Callithrix jacchus: one gene and its partners. The main gene of each other region encodes a partner of the protein of the gene in region 5 in a complex. Links are inferred from orthologs where the notes say so. Each region holds a gene or a part of one and is shown on either strand. Other genes may lie near its edges.

Region 1 (4,104 bases), on a different chromosome or scaffold from region 5:
CTGGTCTAAGTAAAAGCTGGTTTCAGGTGGGGTAAGGGTGGTGCTCACTGGAGTGGGGCTATGGCAGGAGATGTGGGATAAGCCTTTCTCTGTTCTTGCAAATCTGGGAGTATGAGTCTACAGAAAGCTTTATAAGGCTTGATTTAGGGACAGGAGTACAGGGGAGGTAGAAGTCTCTAAGACTTAATCATGTTCTGTAACAGTCCAGGACAAGATGGAAACCTATGTCCTCTCCAATCGTGGAAAAAAGGCCAAAGAAAGCCCACACTCATTCTGTCTGGTTAAAGATGTGGAAATTAGAGCCCTGTCCTGCTACAAAGAAGGTGCATTCCTGGTATACTACATTAGAATCCAGCCCCATTTCCCCACAGAAATAAAATTTCCATAGGGGTTAGAGCCTACATTATTAGTGGCAATACACTTTTCAGGTAAACAGAATTAACAGGCTGGTGTGGAAATCTCAAGACTCCTATCAACATGGTTCTGCGGGACAATGAGTTCTGAGTTACAAACAGGTTAAGAGAAATCGTTTAGTGCCCGGGCTCGGTGGCTCACACCTGTAATCCCAGCACTCTGAGAGGTTGAGGTGAGTGGATCACAAGGTCAGGAGTTCAAGACCAGCCTGGCCAAGATAGTGAAACCTCATCTCTACTAAAAATACAAAAATTAGCCAGGTATAGTGACAGGTGTTTGTAATCCCAGCTATTCAGGAGGCTGAGGCAGGAGAATCTCTTGAACCTGGAAGGCAAGGGTTGCAGTGAGCCAAGACCATGCCACTACACTCCAGCCTGGGTGACAGAGCGAGACTCTGTCCCAAAAAAAAAAAGAAAAAAGAAAAACGTTTAGCTACAACTTGTGTTTCAACTTTTTAAATTCCTCCAAAGACTACCTCCTCCAATTACATTTTACAAAGTAATAAATATCCTGAAAGGCTACATAATCAGGTTAATAGTTTTAAAAAAAAAAAAACAGGGAGGGATAACATGGGGAGAAACGCCAGATATAGGTGATGGGGAGGAAGGCAGCAAACCACATTGCCATGTATGTACCTATGCAACAATCTTGCATGTTCTTCACATGTGCCCCAAAATCTAAAACGCAATAAAATATGTATTAAAAACAAAACAAAAAAACCCTAAGTTACGAATCCACTGTTTTTAAAGATGCTCAACCTAAAAATATGTAAGGTACATTTGTGAATTTTCTTCTCATTTTCATAAATGCAATCCAGACACAAATTCCATTCAGAAACTGACAAACTTCACAGATCACAGAATCGGTACACATAACTATGTCTGAGTGAGCACACGACACTTTTCTGGAAGTCATTCACATCAGAGCAGTTTCATTCTGTGAAGAAGTTCCAACAATCCACTCACCTTGGCCTCCCAAAGTGGTGGGATTACAGGCATGAGCCACCATACCCGGCCCTAATACAGTTTATTTTAAACAGTGGATTAAACACATAGCCATTTAATTTCTGGTGTCTATGTGTTTTAGGGTTCTCTTCCATCATTAAATATCATGCTGACCTGGTAACTTGGTAGTAATGTTGTGGCAAAGACTAAATTTAACACCATAAAGTGCCGATTATAAGTAGATCAGGTATATTTTAAAATACAATAGATAAGATTTATTCTAAAGCTGTCAAAGAATGTTGGCTACAGAAAAGGTGACATTTGAGCTGGATTCTGAAGGATAAATGAATCATCCACCAAATTGAGGGTAGACTGGGATTTGCACTGAAGATGTGTAAGTCTGGCTAAGGAATTTGAACTTTACCTCACTGGACAATGCAAACCTACCAACGATATAGGTTTTATATCATTTTTCTGCAGTAAAATGATATAACATGCCTTTTAAAACTGGTCTCGGCCAATATAAAAGGATAAAGTGCAGAAGCATGAGGCAATTAAAACTGGGAGGCTGCATTTAAGTAGCAGTTATTAACAGCGGAGTAGATACGAGACGGCAACTCTGAGTCACATTTTAGGAGGTAGAAGAACCAAGATAATTTACCACGCAAGCCAATGTGAGAGAGTCAAGGAAGACTTCAACTTGAGATACTTATCATGAAAAGTAACAGAATATGAAGAGTGACATCTAATTTCGTCTCCTACCTCTGCCACACAACCATCCCAAACAATTTGCAACCCCACCAAGCCAGGCTTTTGCACATGCCGTTCCATCTACCTGCTGCCTAGTGAGTCTGCCAGCTCATGCTTCCCAAGCAGCCCTTTCTTCAGGGTGCCTGTGTGCAGCCCTCTAATAAAACAGGCCCCACTCCAGTTTACACATCTGTCTGTCTCTGGCATCCAGCCTACCCTTCAAGACCCCAGTGGCTGGCACCCAAGGGGCGTTCCATAAATGTTAAGTGGCCGGCCGTGGACGAAGGGGGCTCCGACCGCGCAATTTCTTAATTTCCACGATTACTATCATTATTAAAATTCCCTCTATCGGGAAAAACCGCCGCCCAGAGTGCCAAAGGGCTGCGGACCCCACGTCCAGGACCATCGTGCACCCGAAACTCCCGCGCCGGCCCTCCCCGCCAAGCGCAGAGAACTAGCGCAAATCAAGGGCCGGCCGGGGTCAGTTCCCCGGCCCAGCTCCAGCCCGGCTCTAAGGCTCGAGCCATTACCTAGACAGGACTTCCAAATCCTCAAGCGCAGACAGCAGCCGCTCTCGTGTGCTGTTACCACTTGCCACTCCCAAGCCGCCTCCCAGCCGCTCCTTCTCCTTCTCACCACTCGAAGACGCAGCCATACTCCCGACCGTCCCGCCGCTGGCGCACGCGCAGTGCATGCTGACGCAGGGGCGTGGCGGGTAGGCAGGCTCGGAAGGCAGAAGAGTCACCCAGTGAAGGAATGAAAGCCCTGGCGAGACCGCCCCCTGTGCGCCTGGAGGCGCACTGCGGACACCGGCGCCATCTGCTGGGCCAGCGAGGGCTTTCCGGTAGAAACCTTGGGAGCGACAGCCGAACCGAGAACAAGGGGTAGACCAGAGTCTGATTCTCCTGGGCATAATGTTTTTTTCTTTCTTTTCTTTTCTTTTCTTTTCTTTTCTTTTCTTTTCTTTTTTCTTTTCTTTTCTTTTCTTTTCTTTTCTCTCTTTTCTTTTCTCCTCTCCCCTCCTCCCCTCCCCTCCCTTCTCCCTCCCCCCTCCCCCCTCCCTTCCCCCCTCCCCATCCCTCTCCCTCTTACCTCCCCTCCCCTCCCCCTCCCCATCCCTCTCCCTCTTACCTCCCCTCCCCTCCCCCTCCCCATCCCTCTCCCTCTTCCCTCCCCTCCCCTCCCCCCTCCCCATCCCTCTCCCTCTTCCCTCCCCATCCCTCTCCCTCTTACCTCCCCTCCCCTCCCCCCTCCCCATCCCTCTCCCTCTTCCCTCCCCTCCCCCCTCCCCATCCCTCTCCCTCTCCCTCTTCCCTCCCCTCCCCCCTCCCCATCCCTCTCCCTCTTCCCTCCCCTCCCCTCCCCCCTCCCCATCCCTCTCTCTCTTCCCCTCCCCTCCCCCCTCCCCATCCCTCTCCCTCTTCCCTCCCCTCCCCCCTCCCCATCCCTCTCCCTCTTCCCTCCCCTCCCCTCCCCCCTCCCCACCCCTCTCTCTCTTCCCCTCCCCTCCCCCCTCCCCATCCCTCTCCCTCTTCCCTCCCCTCCCCTCCCCTCCCCTCTCCTCCCCTCCTTTCCTCCTTTCCTTCCTTTTCTCTCTCCCTACCCCCCGCCCTCTCTCTCTCTCTCTTTCCTTCCTTCTTTTTTTTTTTTTTTTTTTGACGGGTTTCACTCTGTTGCCCAGACTGGAGTGCATGGTTGCAATCTCGACTAGCTACAGTCTCCGCCTCTCCGGTTCAAGCGCTTCTCCTGCGTCAGCCTAACGAATAGTTGGGATTACAGGCACGTGCCACGCTTCCAGCTAATTTTTGTATTTTTGGTACAGATAGGGTTTCGCCATGTTGGCCATGCTGGTCTCGAACTCCTGACTTCAAGTGATCCACCCCCCCACCCCCCTTGGCTTCCCAGAATGCTGGGGTTATAGGCGTGAGTACCCATGCCTGGCCCTGGGCCTAGTGTTTCTCAAGCAGCCATGAGAAGCTTCTGTGAAGTGACTTTT
Region 2 (4,111 bases), on a different chromosome or scaffold from region 5:
GGTTGATTTTTTGAACAAACCCTCAGAGAGCAAGGGGAAGTTTCTCCTTGCCCCCCACGTGCTATATGGCAGAGGGCGAAGCGCTTTAAGTTAATGTTCTGAGCGGTCCCTCCACCCCTACCGAGGAAACACAGCAAGGAGCTTGGGACGGATTTTTTACGACGTATTTTTTTTTTACAATTCCTTTACAATCGCCCCAAAATTTTATCCACTTTCACATCCTCACGATCCAGCAGAGTGCCTAGAGTGTACACTCTAGAAATGTTTACTGAATTAAGAAACGGCTGACAGTGTGTGCAGCTAGTGTGGCCAGAAGAGCAGTTTCAAGTCCCAGGCACTCATTAGTTGTGTGATCTGGGGCAAGTCGCCTAAATATACCGAGATCCATTTCTTCACCAATGAAACAAGAACATTACTACTTCCCTTGTCTACCTACTGGCTCCTCAGGAGGCTTTACTTAATGAGCGGCACTGTAAAACGCTGTACACGTCTATGTAGAGTTTTCATAGGGCTGTTGATTAGTGTGAATGGTGAAATGGAAAGAAACCTGGACTCCGCAGTCAGAAGCTGTTGGGCCGCTCGCTGACTTGATGATGGTCCGGACCCTGTACTTAATAGTTTGTAAGTCCGCTACAGGCTCGGAACCTCAAGTGTCCTCAGAAAGGGAAAGCCCAGGGTTCCCAGTCAAGGTCGCGGGGTACTAAGACGCGGGACGCTCACCCAGTCAAAGTCACACGGGTTGCCGTCTTCGCGTTGGGTAGGCAGACCGTTGCAGAGCGGCGGCAGTTTCCTCACGAGTAGGAAGGCAGCAGAGAGCAGGGCCGACAGAAGGTAGTAAGGTTGGGCCAGCCATCGTGAAAGTCGCGGCACAGAATACACCAGAGCAATTAGAGGTGCCAGGATCGCCATCTTTTTGGCCGTTAGGGCCGGGGCTCATTGGCGTTGTAGGTCTGGCCCCGCCTCCCTCACCATAGAGACTGCTATTGGGCCGTATCTCAAATGTACCGCCTCTAAATCCGGATGTAGCTCTCTGGACGCTGTGGTAGGTCAGAACCCAAATAAGAATTTAACATATTATTGGTTAGTCTAGTTGTCGCTTTATCCACCTAAGTCATTTTATTGGACTGTAGCAAACGAAGCTAGCAGAAGAATCTAATAAGGTTAAATAGCACTTTCTAAACGTTCTCATAAGGCGACGGAAGTAGTTGCTGAAACAAGGTAAGCGGTGCCTGAGGCATCCAATGACAAGAGGCTCCTTGAGAAAGAGGGCGGTACCCTTAAAAGCATTGTCCAATGAAAATTACCAACGCCAGACATCTAGGCAGCGCCGAGGCGGAGGGGACGATGGAGAATTTCACGGCACTGTTCGGGGCTCAGGCTGACCCACCACCGCCCCCAACCGCACTCGGCTTCGGACCAGGAAAGCCTCCACCCCCGCCACCACCTCCTCCAGGCGGGGGTCCCGGCACGGCCCCGCCTCCCACCGCAGCCACGGCCCCTCCCGGCGCGGACAAGTCAGGAGCTGGCTGTGGCCCTTTCTACCTAATGAGGGAACTGCCAGGTGAGTACACGGCCTTGCCAAAGCCAGCCAATCAAATCTTAGAGAGGAGGTGATGGGCGTGGTTCTCAGCCGGCTAGCGGAGGTGCCAGGTAACCTAAGAAAGACAGACTCGGACTGTGGAGCCATAAGTCGGAAGCGCTGTTAGGATTCACAAGCAGAGGGATGACTTGAATTCAACCAAACGGCGGGGGAGAGGGACGGTGAATCTCCGTGACACTGGTTTATGTCTCCCTAAAAAAATGATCCAGGACTGGGCGCGGTGACTGATGCCTGTAATCCCAGCACTCTGGGAGGCGGAGGCGGGCGAATCACCTAAGGTCAGGAGTTCGAGACCAGCCTAGTCAACATGATGAAACCCCCCCTCTCTACTAAAAATACAAAAATTAGCCGGGCATGGTTGCGTATACGTTTAATCCCAGCTACTCAGGTGGCTCAGGCGGGAGAATCGCTTTGAACCCGGGAGGCGGAGGTTGCGGTGAGCCTAGATTGCTCCACTGCACTCCAGCCTGGGCGACAGAACGAGACTCCCTCTCAAAAACAAAAGATCCAGGAGATCCAGGGTTTCAGTTAGGAACTTGAGAGGCCTGATTTAATATCTTTGGGGACCCAAAGTTTTAATTTTGCTGTTGGTTTGGGGCAAGTTGCCATTATTCCTTCTAAGGTTCCGGCGTTTCCTGGTCTGTTCTAAGAAGGGATAAGAATCAAACCAAACTCTTTTCATTCAAAAATTAATTTTGTTGAGTTCCTATGTACCAAGCACTTTTGTAAATGCTTGAGATACAGTTATGAACAAGACTGACAAGATGCTTGCTTTTTTTTGGAATGTACATGTCAGTGGAGGAGGCATTGTAAACAAGATTATATCAGAGAGTGATTAATTCTAGGAGGAGAAAACATGATAAAGAATTGAAAGGGGCCAGGCGTGTTGCTCACACCTGTAATCCCAGCGCTTTGGGAGGCCCAGGCAGGAGGATCCTTTGAGTCCAGGAGTTTGAGACCAGCCTGGGCAACATGTCGAGACCCAGTCTCTACAAAACATACAAGAATAGCCAGGCACGGCAGTCCGTGCCTATAGCCCCAGCTATTGGGGAGGCTAAGGGAGGAGATTCTCTTGAACTCAGGAGGTTTCGGCTGCAGTGAACCAAGATAGTGCCACTGCACTCCAGCCTGGGCAACAGATGAGACCATCTCTCAAAAGAAAAAAATGTTGAGGGCAGAACTACTTTAGTTAGAGTGACCAGAGATGCTCTTTCCATGTAGCTAACATTTGAACTAAAATATAAGCATAGACAAAGGGCCAGCTATGGATGGATAGGAGGGAGAGATAATACTAGATACAAGTAATGAGGTCAGAAACCCTGATGTGAGAAAACGCTTAGAATATCTGAGGGACAGAAAATCAGTTGGACTCCAGTGAAGTGAACGAAAGGAAAGAGTCTTAGGAGAGAGAGACAAAAGGAAAGGTGGGAGAGTTAGGCAGAGGCCTTTATAAAGTAATAAAGGCATTTAGATGGCAAATACCAAAGGAAGCCGTTTAAAAAAAAATTTATAGAGGCAAAGTCTCACTGTGTCACCCAGGCTGGACTGCAGTGGCATAATCATAGCTCACTGTGACCTCGAATTCCTGGGCTCATGCTGTCCTCCCAGCTCAGCCTCCCAGGTAGCTAGGGCGACAGGCATGTGCCACCATGGTTGGCTAACTTAAAATTTTTCTGTAGAGATAGGGTCTTACTGTATTGTCCAAGCTGGTCTTGAACTCCTGGCCAACAGCAGTCCTCCTGCCTTGCCCTTCCAAAGTGCTGGGATTATAGACGTGAGCCACTGTGCCCAGCCAAGGAAAGCCATTTTAACACAGGAACTTGGTCAGATTTACTTATTTATAATCATTCAAGCAGCCACATGACAAATAGAAAGTGGGGAAGTCAGAGGTTACCACTCATAGTCCAGGAAAGATGATGGTTCAAACCAGGGCATAGCAGGGCATAGAGAAGTAAATGGATACAGGATGTTAGAGGTAGAGCTGATGGGGATGAAAAGTTGAATATAGGGCCAGGCGCTGTGGCTCATGCCAGTAATCCCAACACTTTGGGAGGCCGAGGTGGGAGAATATCTTGAGCCCGAAAGTTTGAGACAAGCCTGGGAAACATAATGAGACACATCTCTACAAAAAATAAATATAATTTAGCTAGGCATAGTGATGTGTGCCTGTAGTCTCAGCTACTTAGGCGGCTGAGGTGATAGAATTACTTGAGCCCAGGAAGTTGAGGCTGCAGTGAGCCGTGACTGCACCACTGCACTCCAGCCTGGATAATAGGGGAAGAAGTGAAGGAGAGAGTAAAGTGAAGGAATGATGTCTTCTTAAGTTTTCACCTTGAATAATTAGGTGTATGGGTATGGAGACTTGGAAGATGAGGAAGGAACAAGTTTGAAGAGGTGGAAATCAAGTTTTCTGGACATGTTAGGTCTCCAAGATGCCTTTCATTATCTCAAGTCTTATTTCCACATCATGACTTGAGGGAAATAATAACAAATATTGGTATGGTACTCTGA
Region 3 (4,192 bases), on a different chromosome or scaffold from region 5:
ATTGGCAAGCATTAAAAAAAAAAACTAAAATCTTGGGCAGACTAAATAAAATGCCCAAAATGGGCTAATTTGCAATCTCTCTTGAATGTAAATATCTAAAAGGCTGTTGTCCCCAAGAGGGTATAGAATGGTTCTAGCTTAATCCAGGGACAGATTGAAGCTACAAGGAAGTATATTATATCACAATATAAGGAAGAACTTTATAACTTCTGGCTAACAATCGAATCAGCTGTCCTTGACAGAGTCACATGGGATCAATGGAAACTTCCAAACGGAGTGTAGATGACCATCTCTCAGCAACACTATGGATAAAATTAAACTTACGGATGGCTAAGGCTTCCAACACAGAGTCTGTAAATCTACATACATACAACATTTGTTGAAATATACTTTTTTAAAAGTCTTTTCTTTGGATTATTAAATGGATAAAAAGCCAGAAAAGATACAAACGGTCCTGCAGGCAACACAAGATGTATATGCTTCATGAGTCAACTGTTACTGCATACAGAAAAGTGACTTCAAGACAAATTTGAAACATTTCCTCTCAAATTTTTGTCTTAAAAAAAAAAGTTCACTACTGCTTTCTGACTACCTGCTTAAAACAAAGCAGAGGTGTGAGTTCAAGGTGTAGTTTTTTGTTTTTTTTTACCATTAAAAGGGAATTGCTTTCTGGTTATAATACACTTCTTGCAACTTAGTAAGCTTTAACAGGAAAGTGTCTGCTGAACAACCTGAATGGTAAACATATATATACACATAAATGAGTAAATGCATGTGAAGTATTTAGCACTGTTCTTGACACAGAACAGGACTTAAAGAAAAGATAGCAGTTCTAAGATTCAGGTAAGACTCCTCCCAACAACCCCAAACACCTTCCTTACAGATACTCTCTTTTTGTGTTCTTAATTTCAGCCCATGGCTGAAATTACGTAATGTTAAACAACATTTACAGATTGTGAGTTCTTTGAGATCAGAAACCTGGGGAGATGGGGAGGTCGGTAAAAGACAAGGTCAGACAAAGCAGAGCCAGATCATAGAGGGGTTTGGCCCAAAAAAGAGAGACTGGATTTTATTTCGCATGGAAATGCAAAGCCATTGAAAGATTCTAGGCAAAAAAGTAAAGTGTTCTGATTTATATTTTTAAGTGATTAAGCAGGCTTCTGTGTAGAAAGCTGTTTTGCTTTGTTTGGTTTGCAGGGAGCGGGAGGGGAGCAGGAAGGTAAAAGTGGAAGCAGAGATAACCAGGCAATAGATTACTGCAGTGATACAAGTTAGAGATGAGGGTGTCTTGTATTAAGGTGACAACTGAAAGAAGTGGAGAGATTCAAAATACATTTTTGCCAATGTGAAACTAAGAAATCTATTATATAATAAAGTATACACATGCTTAGGATTATAAAAATTAAACTTACTTTAGATACTTGGCATATTCTGGGTCTTTCCAGTAAAGCAAGTATTTAAGATAATTAACAAAAGCTTTGTCTTTGAAGTAACCTCTTTGGGCAAGAACTGAAAAGCATTAAAAAAAAAAAAAAAAGAAAATCTGTAGGTCAAACCAATTCTTAAACTATGATTTGTTACCCCTAATATAAAGGATCTATTTACATAACACTCCCACCACCAACACACATCGGATTCAAAATACAAGTCCCAATGTACACAATTACATCTATACACCAGCTAAGTGTAATTTCATTTCATTGAGAATGTGTACAAGCAGATACTATTTTGAATTGCAACTCTTCTGTCAGAAATTAACAGCTACTCAATTTAATGAGGTGCTTAAAAACTTACAATTAAGGTAATTTGGGTTGGCTAAACATTGCACAAATTCCAACTCCAATTGAAACCGAAGTCGATTTCCAGCATCATCTAGGAGACAAGACAGCAAAAATCATCGAAAATAAAGGTCACTGTATATAATACTGATTTGTGGTAAGGAAAGAATAAAGAAACCTGACTAATATCGAGATGGTCTTCCTAAACTGGGAGTGGGTGGAGATAAACCTTTCTTCGAAATCTAAGAAAAGCGGAGCCTTGATTAAAAGGATTAAGTTAGAAGTTTCTCTAAAGTTAAAGAGAAATCATCAAAGAAAACAGCCACACAAACAGAGCAGAATTCCTACCAACTCGTGGACCACTTTGCAGGAATTTTAAGTGATCACTTAGGTAAGCTGTAATAACTGTGCTTCCCCTATTTTAATAATGCATTGTAACAATTGTTAACAGTGATTACGTTTCGCAAAAGCTACGCGCTGAATCCTTTAAGAAAAACTTAGGATGCAAGCCGAAAAAGAGACTGCAGAGAGCCTAAAAGATCGTGGAGTTTATGCATATCTGAGAAGCAGCAACAGCACAATGATACACAAGTCTAGCGACGGTATTTCAAATACGCAAGCTCGTGAGAAGCAGAAAACCAATCAAGGAGGACACGGTTTAACACACAAGTCCTCTCTTAATCTCGCCCACCCTGGCGAGCTGGTGGTTTTTGAATAGCAAAGATGTGGCACAAACCAAATTAGGAGAACTGCGAAAAGTACCTTAGCCTTTCTAGACGCCACAAGGGCCTTCTCTCCGCCCTGTCCAAATACGAACCCTGCAGAGTGAGGCCTGAAAGGAAGCCCCGGGGAAGAGGTCTGGGCCTAGGAGCGTTCCATCTGAGAAGACTCCAGGCTCAGAGAGCTACTCACCTGTCTCCATAGCGACGGCGGCGGCCATAACAAACACACACCAACCCGCCACCAGCCCGACAGAGCAAACGCCCAGAGTGGCGAGGGAAGTTCCAAAAACCACAGCTCCCTCTTCCGGTCCCGGGGCATTGTGGGATATGCGGCCGGGAGGCTCCGCCCATCCCCGGGCCGCTCCATCCCCGCTGGCTACCGAACGGCGAGGGGGCGGGGACAGGGCCGTGGGAGCGCCCGAGGGGCAGAAGCCTAGTGTTTTAGCCTTCGAAGGACAATGATGCTTCCACATCATCGTGTTGTGGCTCTCCCCCCTGTGGTAGTACAGTAGTTTTTCTCTCTTCTGCCTGCGGTGACGGTTGGTATGTGGGGTGCCCAGAGGCCTCCCTGGCCCCCCTCACGCCTGGCAGAATGGCCTCAGCCCAGGGGGCAAGCAGTCTTCGCCCCGGTGCGGATCTCCCGCTACGCGGAGACGTCTACGGTCCGCCCGGATGGGTGGAGACCTCACGGGGCCGCAGCGAGGGGTCTTCCCTCTCCCCGTCGGGAAAGTGGCTCCCTGGCGTCCTCAAGGAGTCCTCCTGGCACGTGGAAGCCTCCTCGCGGCGCACGGAAACGACCTCCCGCCACGTCAGGGACCCTGCGGGTGGAGACGTCTCTGCACCGCGCGGAGAGCCCAGCCCCGCGGGCCAGGCCGGCCGCCACCACCACCCCCTCCCTCCGAGAGAAAGAAGCCTGATGAGATACTGCTTCCCAAAGGCCACCAAGGTGCCAGGGCCCTCAGCCAGGACAGAAAGGCCTCCAGTTGCCAGCCAGCCAGCTGCCAGGTGGACCAATCTTTTTCGGTTTCATGGAAATAGCTCATAAATCAATGTAAGAAACAGCTAGGCTGCGGTTCCTGAACACAGCCAACGTTTTTTGACCATCCTGCGGCGTCTTGGACCAGCCTGCTTTTGACCCAGTGAATTATATTCACTTGAAGCCAGCACAAAAGGTTTTCAGGCCCAGGATGCTGTATAAATCGGGTTGATGGACAAAGGCTGTTTGAACCTCTGAGCCAGGTGAGTTTGGGATCCAAAGCCCTCCGATGACCTTCGCCCCTTAGGAACACAGACCAAACTGAAATCATGACCTGTGGAATGATTCCATGCCTGCTAAAAGCTTGAGAAGCAACTAACTCATAAATTATTAATTGCCCTTTGTTTATGTTTCAAAGTAAATGGTTTTCTTTTACCTGGCACCCCCATTCACATACTTTTTTAAGGTAGGTTAGATGTTAAAAATGATAGCAAACCTACCAGCAAGCAAAAATAATCTTAGAAGGGAAAGTGAAAGGAAGTCATTGAAACCTGACCTGAGGTTTGAACAAGATGGACAAGAGTCATATTTATTGAGTAGCTGCTCTGTGCCAGGCACTACAGATACTCCTCCACTTACAATGGGGTTACCTCCCAATAAACCCATTGTAAGTAGAAAATATGGTAATTTGAAAATGCACTTACTATCTACAACCT
Region 4 (3,963 bases), about 43 Mb from region 5:
CCCACCGCCGCCCCGGAACAGAAAAGGCCCGTGATGCGCCACGACCACGTTTTTAAAACCAGACTAGAAGAAAATGACCCAAAATTTGAAAGCAGGCTCCTCCACAGAAGGTGAAAGGTGGCTTTTCTCACCCTGGTTTGATTCTAATTTCCTGTGGTTTTCTAATCTTCTCTATTGAGCACATATTACAGGTGCATATACTGGAGCAATAGAGAGAAAATGAGTGCAGCCACCACGTACCTTTCTTTTTTTTTTGAGACGGAGTTTCGCTCTTATTACCCAGGCAGGAGTGCAATGGTGCGATCTCGGCTCACCGCAACCTCCGCCTCCTGGGTTCAGGCAATTCTCCTGCCTCAGCCTCCCGAGCAGCTGGGATTACAGGCACATGCCACCGTGCCCAGCTAATTTTTGTATCTTTAGTAGAGACGGGGTTTCACCATGTTGACCAGGATGGTCTCGATCTCTTGACCTTGTGATCCACCCGCCTCGGCCTCCCAAAGTGCTGGGATTACAGGCATGAGCCACCACGCCCGGCCACCAGGTGCCTTTCAAAAACCAAACAGTGACCCACACCATCTGGAAACCTGGGGCAGGTGTCCCTAACATGCCTGCGTCAACCACCACCCCAGCCCCGTTCGATCCCACAGAGTGGGGACCTCACGTCTCCCGGCACCAGGTGTGGGGAGCACTGAATCCACCCTCTGCACCTCCAGGAGGCTGAGGCTCTCACCCACGTTAGAGAGTGAGGGGTGTCCTGCAAGACTGGATCCCCGCAAGGCAGGGTGCCGGGTACCTGGGGAAAAGGGTGGGACGCCACGTGGGCGGGAGGGGGCGCACCCTGGTCGTCGCTGCGCAGGTCCATGGTGAAGGCGATGAGGTTTCGGCAGGACCAGGCGCAGGCCAGGGGCACCGACGGGCAGTGCGTGCTCTTGGACCATTTCTCCCACTCACAGACGTAGGCCAAGTCCATCATCCCACCTGCTGCCGGCCGCCGCAAGTCACACATGAGGGCAGTCACCAGCTCCTGCGGGAGGGAGGTCTGGCTGGTCGTCTGTGTGGACTGAGCTTCCAGGGCACGTGGAGTGCCAGGCCGGATACGGGAAAACCACAGGCAGGCAGTCGAAGGAACGGCAGGTGCAAAGGCCCGGAGGCCAGAAAGAGCCTGGGGCGTTCCCGGCAGCCCACGGGGCTGGGGCTGAAGGGGGTGTGGAGAGGTCAGGGCCTGTGGGCTTTTACCCTGAGCGGGGTGGGAGCCCAGGAGGGCTGGGACTTACTTGGATTTCACCAGGGCCCCTCTGGCTATCTGGGTAACAGATCGGGGCGGGGGGGGGGGGCCAAGGGCACAGCCGAAGAAGCGGCGGAGGGTCTGCACTGGCCCAGGTGAGTGATGATGGCGGCAGCAGGAGGACGCTGGGTCTCTTTTGAAGGAAGGGCCTACAAACAGGCATATGGTGGGGCTGCCTGTGGCCAAGGCGGGCAGGCGTTCTGGGGCGAAGGGGCTTGGTGAGTGTGACAGGCAACAGAGGGAGCATTTCCTAGGGGCTTGCTTTTTTTTGAGACGGAGTCTCGCTCTTGTTACCCAGGCTGGAGTGCAATGGCGCGATCTCGGCTCACCGCAACCTCCGCCTCCTGGGTTCAAGCAATTCTCCTGCCTCAGCCTCCCGAGTAGCTGGGATCACAGGCACGCGCCACCATGCCCAGCTAATTTTTGTATCTTTAGTAGAGACGGGGTTTCACCACGTTGACCGGGATGGTCTCGATCTCTTGACCTCGTGATCCACCCGCCTCGGCCTCCCAGAGTGCTGGGATTACAGGCGCCCGGCCCTGTTTCCTTCGGGCTTTCTAAGCGCCCAGCATCTGGACAGACTGTTTCTGCTTCACAAAGGCAAAAACCCAGTGAGGCTGGAAGGACCACCAGGCGGTTTTCCTCAAACCCTATCCGGGGCTGCCTACTTCAGGGTCTGCCCCAGACCCCCAGGGCTCCGCCAGACACCCCTTAAAGTCAGCCCCTGACACCTCTTGCTTCCCCCACTTCAAACCACCCCTGGGGCCCATGGCCTCAGCCTAAATTCTCAGGCTTCACCCTAGGGGTCCCATGTTGGCTGACCTCCCCAGGTCCAGCCTCCGACAGCCTTGGCTCTCCAGGCCCCACCCCTAAAACTCCCCAGTCCCCAGGTTCCCCTCCAGGAACCCCATGTAGTCTCCAGGCCCTTTCCCTATTGCCCCCAAACAGCAGGCTTCATCCCAGGGACCCCATGGCGTCTACAGGCTCCGCCCCTATGACCTCCAATCTCCACGGTCCACCCCAGGGAACCCAACTCTCCAGGTTTCATCCATATAGCTATCCAGTTCCCAGGCTCCATGCCGGGGCCCCCAAACCCACAAGCCCCGCCCCCTAAGTCCCACCAAGCGCCTTCAGCCCCGCCCAAAACTCCCTTCAGACCCCGCCCCTAGCCCCGCCCCGCCCCGCGGGCCTCCGGCTGCTTCGGAGTTTCCGCCGCAAGCTGCAGACCCTGGGGCCGAAAGCCGCCTACCCAGCAGCCTTTGCTTCCGGACACGCCCCCTAACCCTGCAGGCCCCGCCTCCGCCGCGCCGCGTTCCCTGGGGCAGCAGACGCCACCGGGAATCCGTCCCGCCCCCGGCCGGCCCCCGCAGCCCCGCGCTCACCTGGCCGGCCGGTGCGCCAAGACCAGCGGGCGTCCGCGGCGCGAAATTTCCCTAATGCCTCGGCTCCGGCGCCGCCATCTTCCCTGGGACCAACGAGTTGCCTGGCCCGCGCCGCCGCCTCCCAAAGACTTCTGGGACGGCGGCGCGGCCTAGGCTCCGCCCCGCTTCCGGGTATATTTGCATGCGAGCATTTCCAGTGATTCCCAAAAGCCACCGTAACTATATTTGGTGGAATAAGCACTTTCCCAGCTCCAGTTAATAACTGCGTTGGTTGGATTACACGTCAGACCACGGAAATACAGGTTGGGCGTCTATAGCATTTAACAAAAGTCACCCTATGTGTAGAGGAGTTGACTATAGAGGCTATAAATAGGTCCCGGTGCGGCAGCTCAATCGTGCTCGCTTCGGCAGCACATATACTAAAATTGGAACGATACAGAGAAGATTAGCATGGCCCCTGCGCAAGGATGACACGCAAATTCGTGAAGCGTTCCATATTTTTGCTTCCCTTCCGCGAGCCCGCAATGACGTCACAGGGCCCCTCCCTTCCGCGAGCCCGCAATGACGTCACAGGGCCCCTCCCTTCCGCCATCCTGCAATGACGTCACTGGTGCGGTGACGCCATCGCCTTCCCCTTTTCGTTTCCTGTTGCACCACTAAGGTCGGCGACTGGAGAACAATCTGGCCGTCCCCACTTAGTTGTGGCGCCCCGCCACCTGCCCCTGTGGCCCTCGAGCTACCGTAAATAAGTAAGTAAACGCTCCGCAGGAGCACATATTGAGCGCCTGCTGCATACACAGGAGAACACTATGGTTTTGATTTTATGTTTTTTTAATTTAATTTAAATTTTTTTTTTTTTTGAGACGGGAGTTTCGCTCTTGTTACCCAGGCTGGAGTGCAATGGCGCGATCTCGGCTCACCGCAACCTCCGCCTCCCGGGTTCAGGCAATTCTCCTGCCTCAGCCTCCCGAGTAGCTGGGATTACAGGCACGCGCCACCATGCCCAGCTAATTTTTTGTATTTTTAGTAGAGACGGGGTTTCACCATGTTGACCAGGATGGTCTCGATCTCTTGACCTCGTGATCCACCCGCCTCGGCCTCCCAGAGTGCTGGGATTACAGGCGTCAGCCACCGCGCCCGGCCATTTCTTCCGTTTTCTAGTCTCCAAGATTGGAGAAACTGAGGCTCCTTTATCTGAAGTCACCAGTCCCGCTGAGGAATGTTCCTACCTCCAACCCCATTTCCACCTCCACCTCCACGAGCCAGTTTAATGCAATGCATGTTGTGCTTTTCTTT
Region 5 (3,500 bases):
TTCTGTCGCCCAGGCTGGAGTGCAGTGGCACGATCTCGGCAAACTGCAACCACCGCCTCCTGGGGTCAAGTGATTCTCCTGCCTCAGCCTCCTGAGTAGCTGAGACTACAGGCGCACCACCATGCCATGCCAGGTTAATTTTTGTACTTTAAGTAGAGACAGGGGTTTTACCATTTTGGTCAGGCTGGTCTCGACCTGCCTATCTGTAACCTCGTGATCTGCTCCCAAAGTGCTGGGATTACAGGCGTGAGCCACTGCACCTGGATGTATTTTTTTTTTTTTTTTTGAGACTGAGTCTTGCTGTCACCAGGCTGGAGTGTAGTGGTGCGATCTTGGCTCACTGCAACCTCTGCCTCTAGAGTAGCTGCGACTACAGGCATGCACCACCATGCCCAGATAATCTTTGTATTTTTAGTAGAGATGGGGTCTCACCACGTTGGCCAGGATGGTCTTGAACTCCTGACCTCGTGACCCACCCGCCTCAGCCTCCCAAAGTGCTGGGATTACAGGTATAAGCCACCAGGCCTGGCCCCTGGTGACATATTTAATGTCCCTCAATCTGATGCATATGATGACTGTAATAAAAGTTAAGGCTCTCAAAGCAAGACAAGAAACCCAAGCACATCAAGTCCACCCAACCATCAAAAACCACTTCCGTGGGCCCAGGCACCCTGGGGATTCCTGTCGAAGGTCAGCAGAAAGCAGGACAAGAGTCAATGCCCCTCCGGCCCCCATGCCCTGGACTCACAAAGCCGTTGCCCATGATGCGGTAGAGGCCTTTGAGAGACTCCAGGTCCTTGTTGGTGAAATGGAACTGGACCATCCTTGAGTTCCGGAACAAAGGGCCCAGGGTGGTCTGTGGAGACACAGAAGTCGGCTGGCACGTTTGTGTGGGGAAGTGAGGAAGGAGGCACGAGGCGTGGGGAAGGAACTAGGGAAGAGACTGCAAGGCTGGCCCCTACCGCCACTCACCAGCAGCTGCTGGGGGATGAGTTGCATGATCAGCTTCTGGGGCCACTGCTCGGTCTTCCTGTGGGGCGATGCCAGGAGAGGTGTGAGGAGGGGGCCAGCCCCAGCCCTACTGCACCCCACCCCTGACAGTCACCTACAGGTTCTCGCCATGATTCACGTAGACCTGGCAGGGCAGTGACCGTGTCAGCTTGGTGTTGGCATCCACAGAGGCAGGTTTGGGTTTCTGCGGGGCAGAAAGAGCATGTCACAGTGAAAAGGGCCATGAGCCTCAGTCCTCCTTAGCCCTCATGTCCTACCCTGGTAGCCCCAAAACTCAGTATGTTCCTCAGGTGAAGTCTCAAGCGCCCTAGGCCCCTCATCTGGATCACCAAGCCTTCAACTCCTCAAATATTAGGGCTACTCATCCAGCCCTAAACCCCACAATGCACTGCTCCCCAGATGCCAGCCCCCAGCCCTTCTCAGGGCCCCAAATCCTAGGCTCTTCTGGGTTCTTTGCATGAGGACCCTCCTCAGTACAAGTCCAACCACCTGAAGGGGCTCCTGGCCTGGTCCCAAGTCCCAGGAGTCCAGCCCAATGAATGCCACCAAAGCCAGTACTACAAATCCCACACATCTGGCCCCATGCATCCTATGTGCTCCACCCTGCAGCCCCAGGAGTTCCGAGTGCCCAGTGGACCCTTAGGCCTCTCACCTCCTGCCACTCGAGGACCCCACTCCAGGCCAGAAGCTTATTGGAGACTGACTGCTGCCCACCGAGGGCTGGGGCTCCCAGCTGGGCTGGGGAAGGGCCACTCACCCCTCCTGGGGCCACGGTGCCTGCCTGCCAGAGGGGAGGAAGGAGGGCCATGAGGATGGGGAAAGAGGGAGCCTCTGGGGGCCATCTGTGAGGGTAAACCAGGAAGAAGAAAAGGCCCCTTCTTCTGTACCTAATCCCCAAATAGCACTTGGCCAGCCCAAGGACCCCAAATGCCTGCACGCTGCAAGATTCGAGGAGTCGTAAGCCCCATGATGCCCTGGACTCCCGGACCCAGGAATTCCTTGGGTTTCTCAGAACAGTTCTCGCCCACCTGGAGCCATGAGCCTCACATTCTGTCCCCAGACCCACTCAGCTCAGTCATCTGCAGCACACGTACCACGAGCCCCCAAGGCCCCAGGACCACCAGACCCACATCTCCTTGGAAGGCAAATGACTCAACCTCTAACTGTCCTAGCTGTGGGCAGCAGGAGGAAGGAGCCAGGGCAGGAGGCGTGCAGGCACCTACCATGGATGGTGCCCCGGGTTGTGCTGTGGGAGCCAGGCCCGAGCCAGGGGCCACGGTGGAGACCAGGCTGGGCTGGGAAGCAGGTGGCGGCTTGGGGGCGCCAGGGGGTCCTGGGGGTAGTGGGGGAGCTGGGGCCTGGCTGAAGGGGGGACCCACTCCAGGAGCGGTTTGTTGGAGAGGGGTGATGGGCGAGACTGTGGGAGAGAGCAAGGGAAGAAGTGGGGAACAGGTGTGTGGACAGAGGCCTGCCTGGCCCCTGCCCGCCCTGCGTCCTTGCCCCGGGACTCACAGCGAGGGCCCAGCCCAGCCTTCTGGTTCTTGGCAGCCTCCACTGCATTCTGGGCGGCCACCTGAGCTGCACTCAGGTTCCCAGGAACCTGTGGGTAGAAGGGAAGGGGCTGGTGAGGACCACGGCCCCCAGTCCTGGTGTCCCATGAGGCCACACTACCCACAGCCCCACAAGGCGCAGCCGCCCAACTGGGGTAGCTCCCGACTCCCATCACCCTGTAGGCAAGCTTCCATGGTCCCAGGACTCCCACCCTCCCAGGGTCCCAAGGGGACTCCCAGCATCCCACAAGCTCCAACATCCAGCTAGATCTCTCCCCAGCGGCATGGCTCCTCCAAGTCCCCAGAAGCATGTCCCTTCCTGAAAACATCCATACCTGGTACTGCGGGGGTACAGGGGGAAGAGGCTGCTGGGGGGCTGCTGAGAGAGTGGCACCCGAGGGTGCGGCAGGAGGCAGGGGGACTGGCTGCTTTGGCTGGAGGGGGCCTGGGGCCGAGCCACCCCCAACTGAGAGCAGGAGGGATGGCCAACCCCAGAGAGAAGGGGTTCAGGTGGAGAGAGAGGAGAGAAATCCAAAATCCAAGTCAGAGGGTGGTGGGTAAACACCTGGATCCCCCATCCCCAACAGCGCCCAAGCCTCACCAGGCAGCACGAGGCCCCGAACCAGCACCATGTGCCTCGGGTCCTGGCTCACATCTGTCGGAGGCTGCAGTGGCTCCAGCAAGGCCGGGGGAGCTGCCTTCTCAAACAGAAGCCGAAGGGCCGGCAGCTTCCGGGGAGACACGATGGAGAAGTGGATCCCCCGCTGCAGGAGAGGGGCCCAGCAGTCATGTCGGGGGCTCCCTCCATAGGGATGTCGGGGCCAGCCCCCAAGCTACCACGGCTGCAGTGTGGCTAGACGGCACCAGCCCTACAACCACAATCCCTGCTGGGCTTTGAGGCAGGAGACTCTGAAACTGGGTATCACCTGCCCCAGGAGA
Region 6 (3,500 bases), on a different chromosome or scaffold from region 5:
ATCCCCTCTGCCGCCAACACTCAGCCCTCAGCCACGAGGCCAGGAAACAGAGAGTTTGGACCCACCATCAGTCCCTGTGAATCCAGCCCTCTATGGAAATGGGCTAGAACTCCAGCAGTTGTCTACTCTGGATGACAGAACTGTCCTCGTAGGCCAAAGACTGCCTCTCATGGCAGAGGTCAGCGAGACAGCCTTATATTGTGGGATTAGGCCCTCGAACCCAGAGTCATCAGATAAGTGGTGGCATAGTTATCGTCTCCCTCCCTGTGATGATACTGAGTTCAGGCCTCCAGAGCTCCAGGGTGAGAGATGTGATGCCAAAATGGAGGTAAACTCAGAGAGCACTGCATTGCAAAGGTAAGACAGCTCTCTGCACCACGTACCCATCCACTGGAAGGCTATGGGCTCCCTCCCCATCTCTCCCTGCTAAACATAAGGTTCAAAATTGAAGCCGACTTTTCTTTGTCCTTCTTGACTCTGCATATGGAAGATGTTTAATGGTCCAATGCTTTGTTCTACGTACAGCATAGCACACATGTCATTTAAACACACGGGCATATAAAGACCTCTTTGTGCCATGTTAGTAGACTCAGAATATATTAATATATTTTTGGCCTATTGTTTGTTAATTAAAGAATACAGCTTTATGAGGCCTTCTATATTGCTACCAGTGCCTTCTTTGTATGTTGACATTTTTGAGGAAGGCTTTGCCTGCACTCGAGTGTGTGTATCATGTATCTAGTATAATATTTACAGTGCTTTTGGTCCACTCATTCTAAACACTTTTCATAGATTAACTCATTTAATCTTTACCATATCATATTATTATGGTAATTTTATAACTGAGAAACTAGGGCCATGCAGTTAGTAAATGACACAGATGGAGTTTGAACCTAGGCGGTTTGTCTTGAGAACCTGTGCTCTTAAGTGAAATTCATGGACCCAGAGACGAAAACATATATTCTTGAAAAAGTATACTTACTAATTTTTATTTAATCACGAATATAAACTATAAAAGCAAATCACCATATAGGTGAATTTTTAGTTTTTTTTTTTTTTTTTTTTTACAAAAAGTTTAAGCTTTGTAAATGCTTTGTCATAATGCCTTTTTTTTTTTTTTAAAGAAACGCACTTAACCTTGTTTACCTTGTTTCAATTGTCATTTTGTCTTTTAGACTCTTAGCACAACCTAACAAACGGTTTAAAATCTGGCAAGACAAACAGCCGCAGATGCAGCCACTCCACTTCCTTGACCCATTGCCTCTATCACAACAACCTGGAGACAGTTTGGGAGAAGTGAATGACCCATACACCTTTGAAGATGGTGACATAAAATACATCTTTACAGCCAACAAGAAATGCAAACAAGGAACGGAGAAAGATTCCCTGAAAAAGAATAAGGTACCATTTAACAGAGAGAGAGTCCAGCACGTGTGGGTTTCTATCTATGTCAGTAAAACACGTGTGGGAAGACTTTGGAGGCAGAACATTTCAGATAGTCTTGCCTGATTGCTCTGTCCCCATATTCATGCTCTTGGTACTATTGTATTGAACAGCGTATTGTTCCTTTTTATGTCATGGCTCACCTTTTTTTAAAAGTCAGCCGAACATAAATGAAGCCTCATATTTTCCAGGCTATAGCTTGTACAGTGCATGTTTCCTCTCATATGCTAATTCTTGTTGGCCTATGCTCCCTGCTTATTTCTTTTAAAATATTATTCCAGAGTACCCAAAATGTAAAGGGAAAAATGTTGATCATAGTATGTATATACAGTTTATCAAGCGCTTATTATCCTCACTGTGCTGAGCGCTATACCTGTGTATTCTCTGGACTCATACCAGCTCTACCCATAGACTATCAGTATTAATTTTACTGGTTTCATTATTATAAAAATGAGTACTGGTTGTGTCTGCTGTCTTTAATTTCAAATTTTCAGACATTCTAAAATACTGGGCCATCAAAAGAGGTATTCTTGAGAATCAAGGAAGTAAGACAATTATAAGAGGCCAGTATACTTCAGGGGAATGATTTTTAGATTGTTTTATACTGATCTCCCTAGATCCAGAAGGCTTAATCTATACTTCATCATCTAAAATGTTGTTAAAGGCAGCTTTTAATATCATGGCATCATTTAATATCAAATGCCACCAGTACTCGTTAGGCATAAAAAACGGATTCACTCAGAATACCCCATAGGATTGAGGGGAAAGTGGGGAGCTCATGGTTCTGTTAAAATTCTGGAGAAAGGACCTATCTTTTATTTCCTTTGGTTGCATAGACCATGGTTTATCATACTTGTGCTCATAACAAGTTCCATTCTACCCTCTAATTCTTTGTGTTCTCCCTCATATTTCACACTTTGGGTTGGTGTTCATGTGTTTTGTTTGGCTGAATTTATTATACAGTCAGAGGATGGATTTGGTACCAAGGATGTCACTACACCAGGTCATTCCACGCCGGTGCCTGATGGGAAAAATGCCATGTCTATTTTCAGTTCTGCTACTAAAACAGGTGTGTACAATGATTATTTGCCTCACTTGGATTGTTGCTAAAATAAAATGCAAGGGAGATGCTTCTCAATATAAAATTTTATTCTTATTGTAATAAGAATTTCATCTCATCTTTAATATATTTTATAGTTTTTCAGTTCCTTTCAAAACTGATAAACATATTTGGAAATAATTGTTTCTAAATTTAACTAAAACCATAGGGAAAAACTCAGGCAGGTCATGTTCATTGAGATCCGTGTCCCCTCCCCACTCCTTTGCACTTGGTGGAGTTGTTTATTCTGTTTCTTTTGCTTCCTTTCCTACAGATGTCCGGCAGGATAATGCTGCTGGCAGAGCTGGCTCCAGTAGCCTTACGCAGGTAACAGATTTGGCACCTTCCCTGCATGACTTAGACAACATCTTTGATAATTCTGATGACGACGAACTTGGGGTGAGTTTGCCATAGCTACATGCACAGAAATTTCGCTATATGAAAGGATTTCATGTCGCTGTTGTAGTATTTCTTTATAGCTTGGTCTACTGAATTTGGGGGCTCTTATTTCAGGTTCTGAATGTTCTTTATAAATGTCTGTATACTGGAGTCTAGTCACACTGTATATTGAAAAAAAGTTTATATACTTGGAAAATATTGTAAAGATTATTATTGTAGTGTACCCCCCTCTAGAATTTTGTTCATTGAAGGATCTTTTTCATTAGTGTCTCCAGTTATAAGTACTAAAAGTCTTTTCACATTCATTTTAATAAATTCTTCTAAATACCATTGGAGTATTAGAAATATATTGTCCCTTAGATTTGATTTTTAAAGTAATGCCCACATAAATTTTTATTCATCTAATAAGTCAGAGGTTAGATATGAAAATATAATCTATACTTTTTAAGATCATGGCATAATGGTAGGGAAATAGAATTTATATACATAGAAGTTAAATAATACAAGGCATCATATGATTTAAATGACAGAGAGGAATAATTGTAATTATTTGGAGATC
Region 7 (3,979 bases), on a different chromosome or scaffold from region 5:
AGATCATTAACATTTAATTATCAATGTATTAATAAAATAAAATTTAGGGTTACTATTTTATTATGTTTTATTCTGAGAGGTTGTGAAATTTTTTGAGACGGAGTTTCGCTCATTACCCAGGCTGGAGTGCAATGGCTCGATCTCGGCTCACCACAACCTCTGCCTCCTGGGTTCAGGCAATTCTCCTGCCTCAGCCTCCTGAGTAGCTGGGACTATAGGCGCACGCCACCATGCCCAGCTAATTTTTTGTATTTTTAGTAGAGACAGGGTTTCACCTTGTTGACCAGGATGGTCTAGATCTCTTGACCTCCTGATTCACGCGCCTCAGCCTCCCAAAGTCCTGGGATTATAGGCATGAGCCACCATGCCCGGCCTGACATTTTCTATTTGTACCTTCTTGACTCCTTTATAACACTTAAGTACTTTGAAAATCAGTTTTCTGATCAAATCTTCTCTCCTCCAAAAACTACAATGAAGAGTACAGATTTATGGACAATAACTGTGATAGCAAAATGTTTTTAATAAACATCAATGAAAATACAGTTAAAAGTTCAAAAACTTTCTGTGACAAGCCAATAAACTGTTACGAATTTTATAGCTAACACTGGTGTTCCTGAAATTTGAAACACAGTACTTTTCAAGAACTGTGGAAAAGCTTGATTATGACAAAAATAACAGGCAGTGTTGTATTTTTGGTTTCTCTGGAAACTTAAACTCTGAATAGCAAGATTACAGCAAATGTAGCTCAGGATATTCTGAAAAATATAGCCCAAGGAAATGGCCAGTTAAAATGTGAATACATTTTAATTCCACCTTTCCAGTGGAGAAAATCACTAGACTAAAAGAGATCCAAGGGTTGGATGAGTAACCATAGTTGAAAATGCTGATACAAATGTTAGCAATAATAACTTGAGGTGAAATAGAGCCCAGTAACTGATGTATTGAAAGTATGTTCGGGTCTGACTAGAATACAGCAATAAAAGTTGAGAGATTAATAAAGGGCAAAAGAAAGAAACTTTAGATAAATAAAGAGACTGAGAAAGAACTGACGATTCAAAAACATACTTCACTGTGATGCAAGCAAATTAAGGAGAAGGATGAAAAATACAAGGTGAATTCTTTCACAATAGCAGGAAAATTCTGACAGAGGATTTCTTGGTAGAATGTGTAGATGAACTAGAACAGGTATGAAGTTCTGAAAGAAGAAACATTTGCATAAATGTGACTTACTTATCCAGCCACACTAACTCTATTTAAAAGCAATACAATTTCCAAAACTTTCTTGCTCAAAGCTCAAATTTACACAATGCCACCTCTAAGAGGCAGGATGCTAGCCTAAACTAAAATGTCCCTTATGTCTGTTCTTACTACCTTCTTCTCTGGCTTGAGAAATGTTTTGATTTGTAAAAGTACTGGCCAAGACAACAAAATAAAGACATGAATCATGTCACAATAGAATTTTATATATGTTTACTTATGTTTATTAATGCATCATCTGCCTTAATAATTTCAGTTAAAAAATGATGGTATGACGGTTTAAAGCTGGTTCAATCATTATTTTATAAGCTTATTTATCACGAGTGAAAACAGAAGACTATTAAAAATAGCTAAAAAGGGAACATGTGTCATAGTGTTGAATGCTTCTGTAACTGTTGGTAAGGCTTGTTATCTAAGTCTGATGCAGAATTCTTAATGGCACTGAAACAGTTCTTTTCTCAGCCACATGGTATCCACTGGTGCTACGAGTCTGGAATAGACTGGCTATGGGTACCACTTCTTGTCTTCAGCTGTGACTGTGCAATATCAGCAAGCGCACTTTGTATCTTTTCCAGAAGCATGTCTCCTCGATAAACAACATCTTCCAGACATGTAGCAGCTTCATGGTTTTCTTCTTCTAGCTTATATAAGCTAGCAGCCTTTATAAGACAGAAATTTTGAAATCTTTAGAGTTAACGAGGGAAGCTGTCACAGAGGTACTTATTTTTAAATCTGGATGACTTTGCAATTATTGTGTTTTTCAGCAAAGAAATTCTAAAAATCAGATAACTTCTAAGAATTTTCCTCATTTGAATTATTAAAAAGAATGAATTTTCAATTAGAAATCTCTAGATATCTGTAAGTGACTCCCTTCCACACTACATTTGGGCACCATTGTTCTACTCCACATCTAGAATGCCACCCTCCTCTCATTCTTCACTAGGAAAAGAGACACAATTGAGGAAATAAGAGGTTTCCTTATAATGGAAAATTGAATATTATAACAAAAGGTGCTATGATTTGAATGTGTCCCCTCCAAAATTCATACGTTATGTGTCCCCTCCAAAATTCATACGTTAAAATCTAATCCCCAATGTGAAGGTATTAAGAAGGAAAGGGCCTTTAAGAGGATATTAAGTCATGAAGGCAAAGCTCTCATAGAATTAGTGCCCTCATAAAATGGCTTGAGGTTGAAGAGGGAATTCTTGCTCTTTTGTCCTTCTGCCTTCTGCCATGTGAGGAAATAGAAAGAAGGCCCTCAACATGGCCTTAAACATGGCCCTAAACATAGCACTGTGTTAAATAAAAATGTCTTACTCATGCACAATGAGTAATAAATGTCTTGATCTTGGACCTCCCAGCCTACAGAAACTGTGAGAAAATAAATTTCTGTTCTTTATAAATTATTGTCTCAGGTATTCTGTTACAGCAGCACAAATGGACACAGACAAAAGGTATTAAACCTTGCTCCTTTAATTCAAAATTCTCTATTACTGGTAAAATTCTCAAAGGAATAAAGACTTACCTGTAAAGCAGCTGTAGACTCTTCACTGGGTAGGGAATCTATCAAAACATCAATGTCTTTTGCTGTTCGTGCAATCAGTGCTGCAAAAAGCTGGGCATACTCTAGAGAAAGATAATGCTAGATCAGGTCATTAGAAAACCTCAAGTTTTCAGAACAAATTTTAAGTTAGTGAAACTGGAAACTTCACATAGCTTTTTCTGCACTAGGATTCTAATGATTAAAATATACACAAATCCTATTACACATTTAGCTCAAATTGGGAATTAAGCATAATTTTTGGAAACAAAATAAGCCGAATTGCTCAATAAATCTAATTTGAAAGGATTACAATAAATGTGAGAGTCAAAGAGAAGCTAAGAAAACCAGTTTACCTTCTGTAGGATTAGCTGGCTGGTCTTTGTTAATTGCTGTCTGAATATTACTAAAAGACGCAGGAGGACCACACTGCTGCAATACTCCAATGGCATTACAAAACTGATCTGCAAGCTTAGGCCAAAGAAAACATGTCAAGGTTAGGAAGGACTTATCAATTTTAAGGACTTTATTGATAACAGCAACAACAATAAATTTCTTTAATCATAATCTCTGAGTAAGGGAATAAAACAGAAAGGAATAATTGCTGATAAAATAAGCCAGTTACTAATAACGTTAATTAAACATTTTAATTCTGCAAAGAAACTAAGTTTGGTATCAACCCAGTTGAAACAGTTGAAATAAAAATAATATTTCTTTTCTTTTGATAGTAAAATGGTAAGAGAACACTAGCCAATATTTATTATAAGCCAAAAGTAAAGACTTTTGGGGAACAGTGATGGAAAAGAGCAGTGATGGAAATCTGACTTGCAAATATCTACCTATGGCATTGCGTCAAATGAAAATTTATTATTCATGTACAAAGTATATAATTCCTTTTCTGAAACTGGAGTAGTTACAAGCATAAAGAAATAGTGGGGAAAAGGCTGCTCAGAAAAGCACCTTAAGTAATCAGAAACATATTTGTTCAAGACTCAAGTTTTAAACTCTTGTGCGCTAAAAGTACTCCTTAAGTACTTCTAAAGATTGAGAACAGCAATTCCTTATCATCTCCAAATTAAAAACGCCTATCCTCCCCACCAATTTCTCTCACCTAGTCTTGACCTCTCAAACCTCCTATTTCTAATAAGCATTTGCACTGGGTTTCTCTGCCATTGTTCAATT

The links.
Region 1: MED25 (region 5) and MED4 share a complex: the UniProt entries of both Homo sapiens proteins name them as parts of the mediator complex. The link is inferred for Callithrix jacchus from reciprocal best matches to the Homo sapiens genes MED25 and MED4.
Region 2: MED25 (region 5) and MED19 share a complex: the UniProt entries of both Homo sapiens proteins name them as parts of the mediator complex. The link is inferred for Callithrix jacchus from reciprocal best matches to the Homo sapiens genes MED25 and MED19.
Region 3: MED25 (region 5) and MED31 share a complex: the UniProt entries of both Homo sapiens proteins name them as parts of the mediator complex. The link is inferred for Callithrix jacchus from reciprocal best matches to the Homo sapiens genes MED25 and MED31.
Region 4: the proteins of MED25 (region 5) and MED16 are in contact, whole or in part, in a cryo-EM structure (PDB 7EMF), measured with the Homo sapiens proteins. The link is inferred for Callithrix jacchus from reciprocal best matches to the Homo sapiens genes MED25 and MED16. Residues at the interface, in NP_112235.2 of Homo sapiens: Ala26, Asn27, Gly29, Pro30, Tyr31, Val74, Asp75, Cys76, Ala77, Pro78, Glu79, Val82, Cys84, His85, Pro87, Lys102, Phe103, Met104, Gly105, Gly106, Gly107, Gly108, Glu109, Thr120, Gln123, Leu124, Asp127, Phe128, Tyr151, Leu152; in NP_005472.2 of Homo sapiens: Cys41, Arg42, Ser92, Ser94, His113, Arg161, Lys163, Phe171, Gly172, Gly173, Lys174, Pro195, Gly485, Tyr486, Ala516, Ala517, Gln520, Val521, Thr524, Arg525, Ile554, Ala555, Ser558, Lys561, Ser562, Leu563, Leu564, Arg565, Pro566, His567.
Region 6: MED25 (region 5) and MED13L share a complex: the UniProt entries of both Homo sapiens proteins name them as parts of the mediator complex. The link is inferred for Callithrix jacchus from reciprocal best matches to the Homo sapiens genes MED25 and MED13L.
Region 7: MED25 (region 5) and MED21 share a complex: the UniProt entries of both Homo sapiens proteins name them as parts of the mediator complex. The link is inferred for Callithrix jacchus from reciprocal best matches to the Homo sapiens genes MED25 and MED21.

What each region holds. Positions count from the first base shown.
Region 1 is NC_133502.1:67,843,313-67,847,416, reverse strand, and holds the start of MED4 (mediator of RNA polymerase II transcription subunit 4), read right to left. Parts: upstream 2,801-4,104; 5' UTR 2,764-2,800; coding exon 2,639-2,763; intron 1-2,638. UniProt on the Homo sapiens protein: Component of the Mediator complex, a coactivator involved in the regulated transcription of nearly all RNA polymerase II-dependent genes.
Region 2 is NC_133511.1:115,289,779-115,293,889, reverse strand, and holds the start of MED19 (mediator of RNA polymerase II transcription subunit 19), read left to right. Parts: upstream 1-1,311; 5' UTR 1,312-1,344; coding exon 1,345-1,561; intron 1,562-4,111. Other genes in the region: TMX2 (thioredoxin-related transmembrane protein 2), read right to left, coding at 721-909. UniProt on the Homo sapiens protein: Component of the Mediator complex, a coactivator involved in the regulated transcription of nearly all RNA polymerase II-dependent genes.
Region 3 is NC_133506.1:108,210,682-108,214,873, forward strand, and holds the start of MED31 (mediator of RNA polymerase II transcription subunit 31), read right to left. Parts: upstream 2,801-4,192; 5' UTR 2,719-2,800; coding exon 2,691-2,718; intron 1,873-2,690; coding exon 1,795-1,872; intron 1,510-1,794; coding exon 1,413-1,509; intron 1-1,412. UniProt on the Homo sapiens protein: Component of the Mediator complex, a coactivator involved in the regulated transcription of nearly all RNA polymerase II-dependent genes.
Region 4 is NC_133523.1:834,341-838,303, forward strand, and holds the start of MED16 (mediator of RNA polymerase II transcription subunit 16), read right to left. Parts: upstream 2,801-3,963; 5' UTR 2,668-2,800; intron 1,435-2,667; 5' UTR 1,275-1,434; intron 1,025-1,274; 5' UTR 1,007-1,024; coding exon 838-1,006; coding exon of another isoform or gene 794-837; intron 1-793. UniProt on the Homo sapiens protein: Component of the Mediator complex, a coactivator involved in the regulated transcription of nearly all RNA polymerase II-dependent genes.
Region 5 is NC_133523.1:43,604,665-43,608,164, reverse strand, and holds part of MED25 (mediator of RNA polymerase II transcription subunit 25), read right to left. Parts: intron 3,326-3,500; coding exon 3,163-3,325; intron 3,028-3,162; coding exon 2,897-3,027; intron 2,612-2,896; coding exon 2,524-2,611; intron 2,429-2,523; coding exon 2,235-2,428; intron 1,793-2,234; coding exon 1,664-1,792; intron 1,196-1,663; coding exon 1,110-1,195; intron 1,031-1,109; coding exon 973-1,030; intron 857-972; coding exon 749-856; intron 1-748. UniProt on the Homo sapiens protein: Component of the Mediator complex, a coactivator involved in the regulated transcription of nearly all RNA polymerase II-dependent genes.
Region 6 is NC_133510.1:119,044,066-119,047,565, reverse strand, and holds part of MED13L (mediator of RNA polymerase II transcription subunit 13-like), read left to right. Parts: coding exon 1-357; intron 358-1,175; coding exon 1,176-1,401; intron 1,402-2,406; coding exon 2,407-2,512; intron 2,513-2,816; coding exon 2,817-2,941; intron 2,942-3,500. UniProt on the Homo sapiens protein: Component of the Mediator complex, a coactivator involved in the regulated transcription of nearly all RNA polymerase II-dependent genes.
Region 7 is NC_133510.1:44,217,563-44,221,541, forward strand, and holds the end of MED21 (mediator of RNA polymerase II transcription subunit 21), read right to left. Parts: intron 3,269-3,979; coding exon 3,154-3,268; intron 2,884-3,153; coding exon 2,783-2,883; intron 1,917-2,782; coding exon 1,740-1,916; 3' UTR 501-1,739; downstream 1-500. UniProt on the Homo sapiens protein: Component of the Mediator complex, a coactivator involved in the regulated transcription of nearly all RNA polymerase II-dependent genes.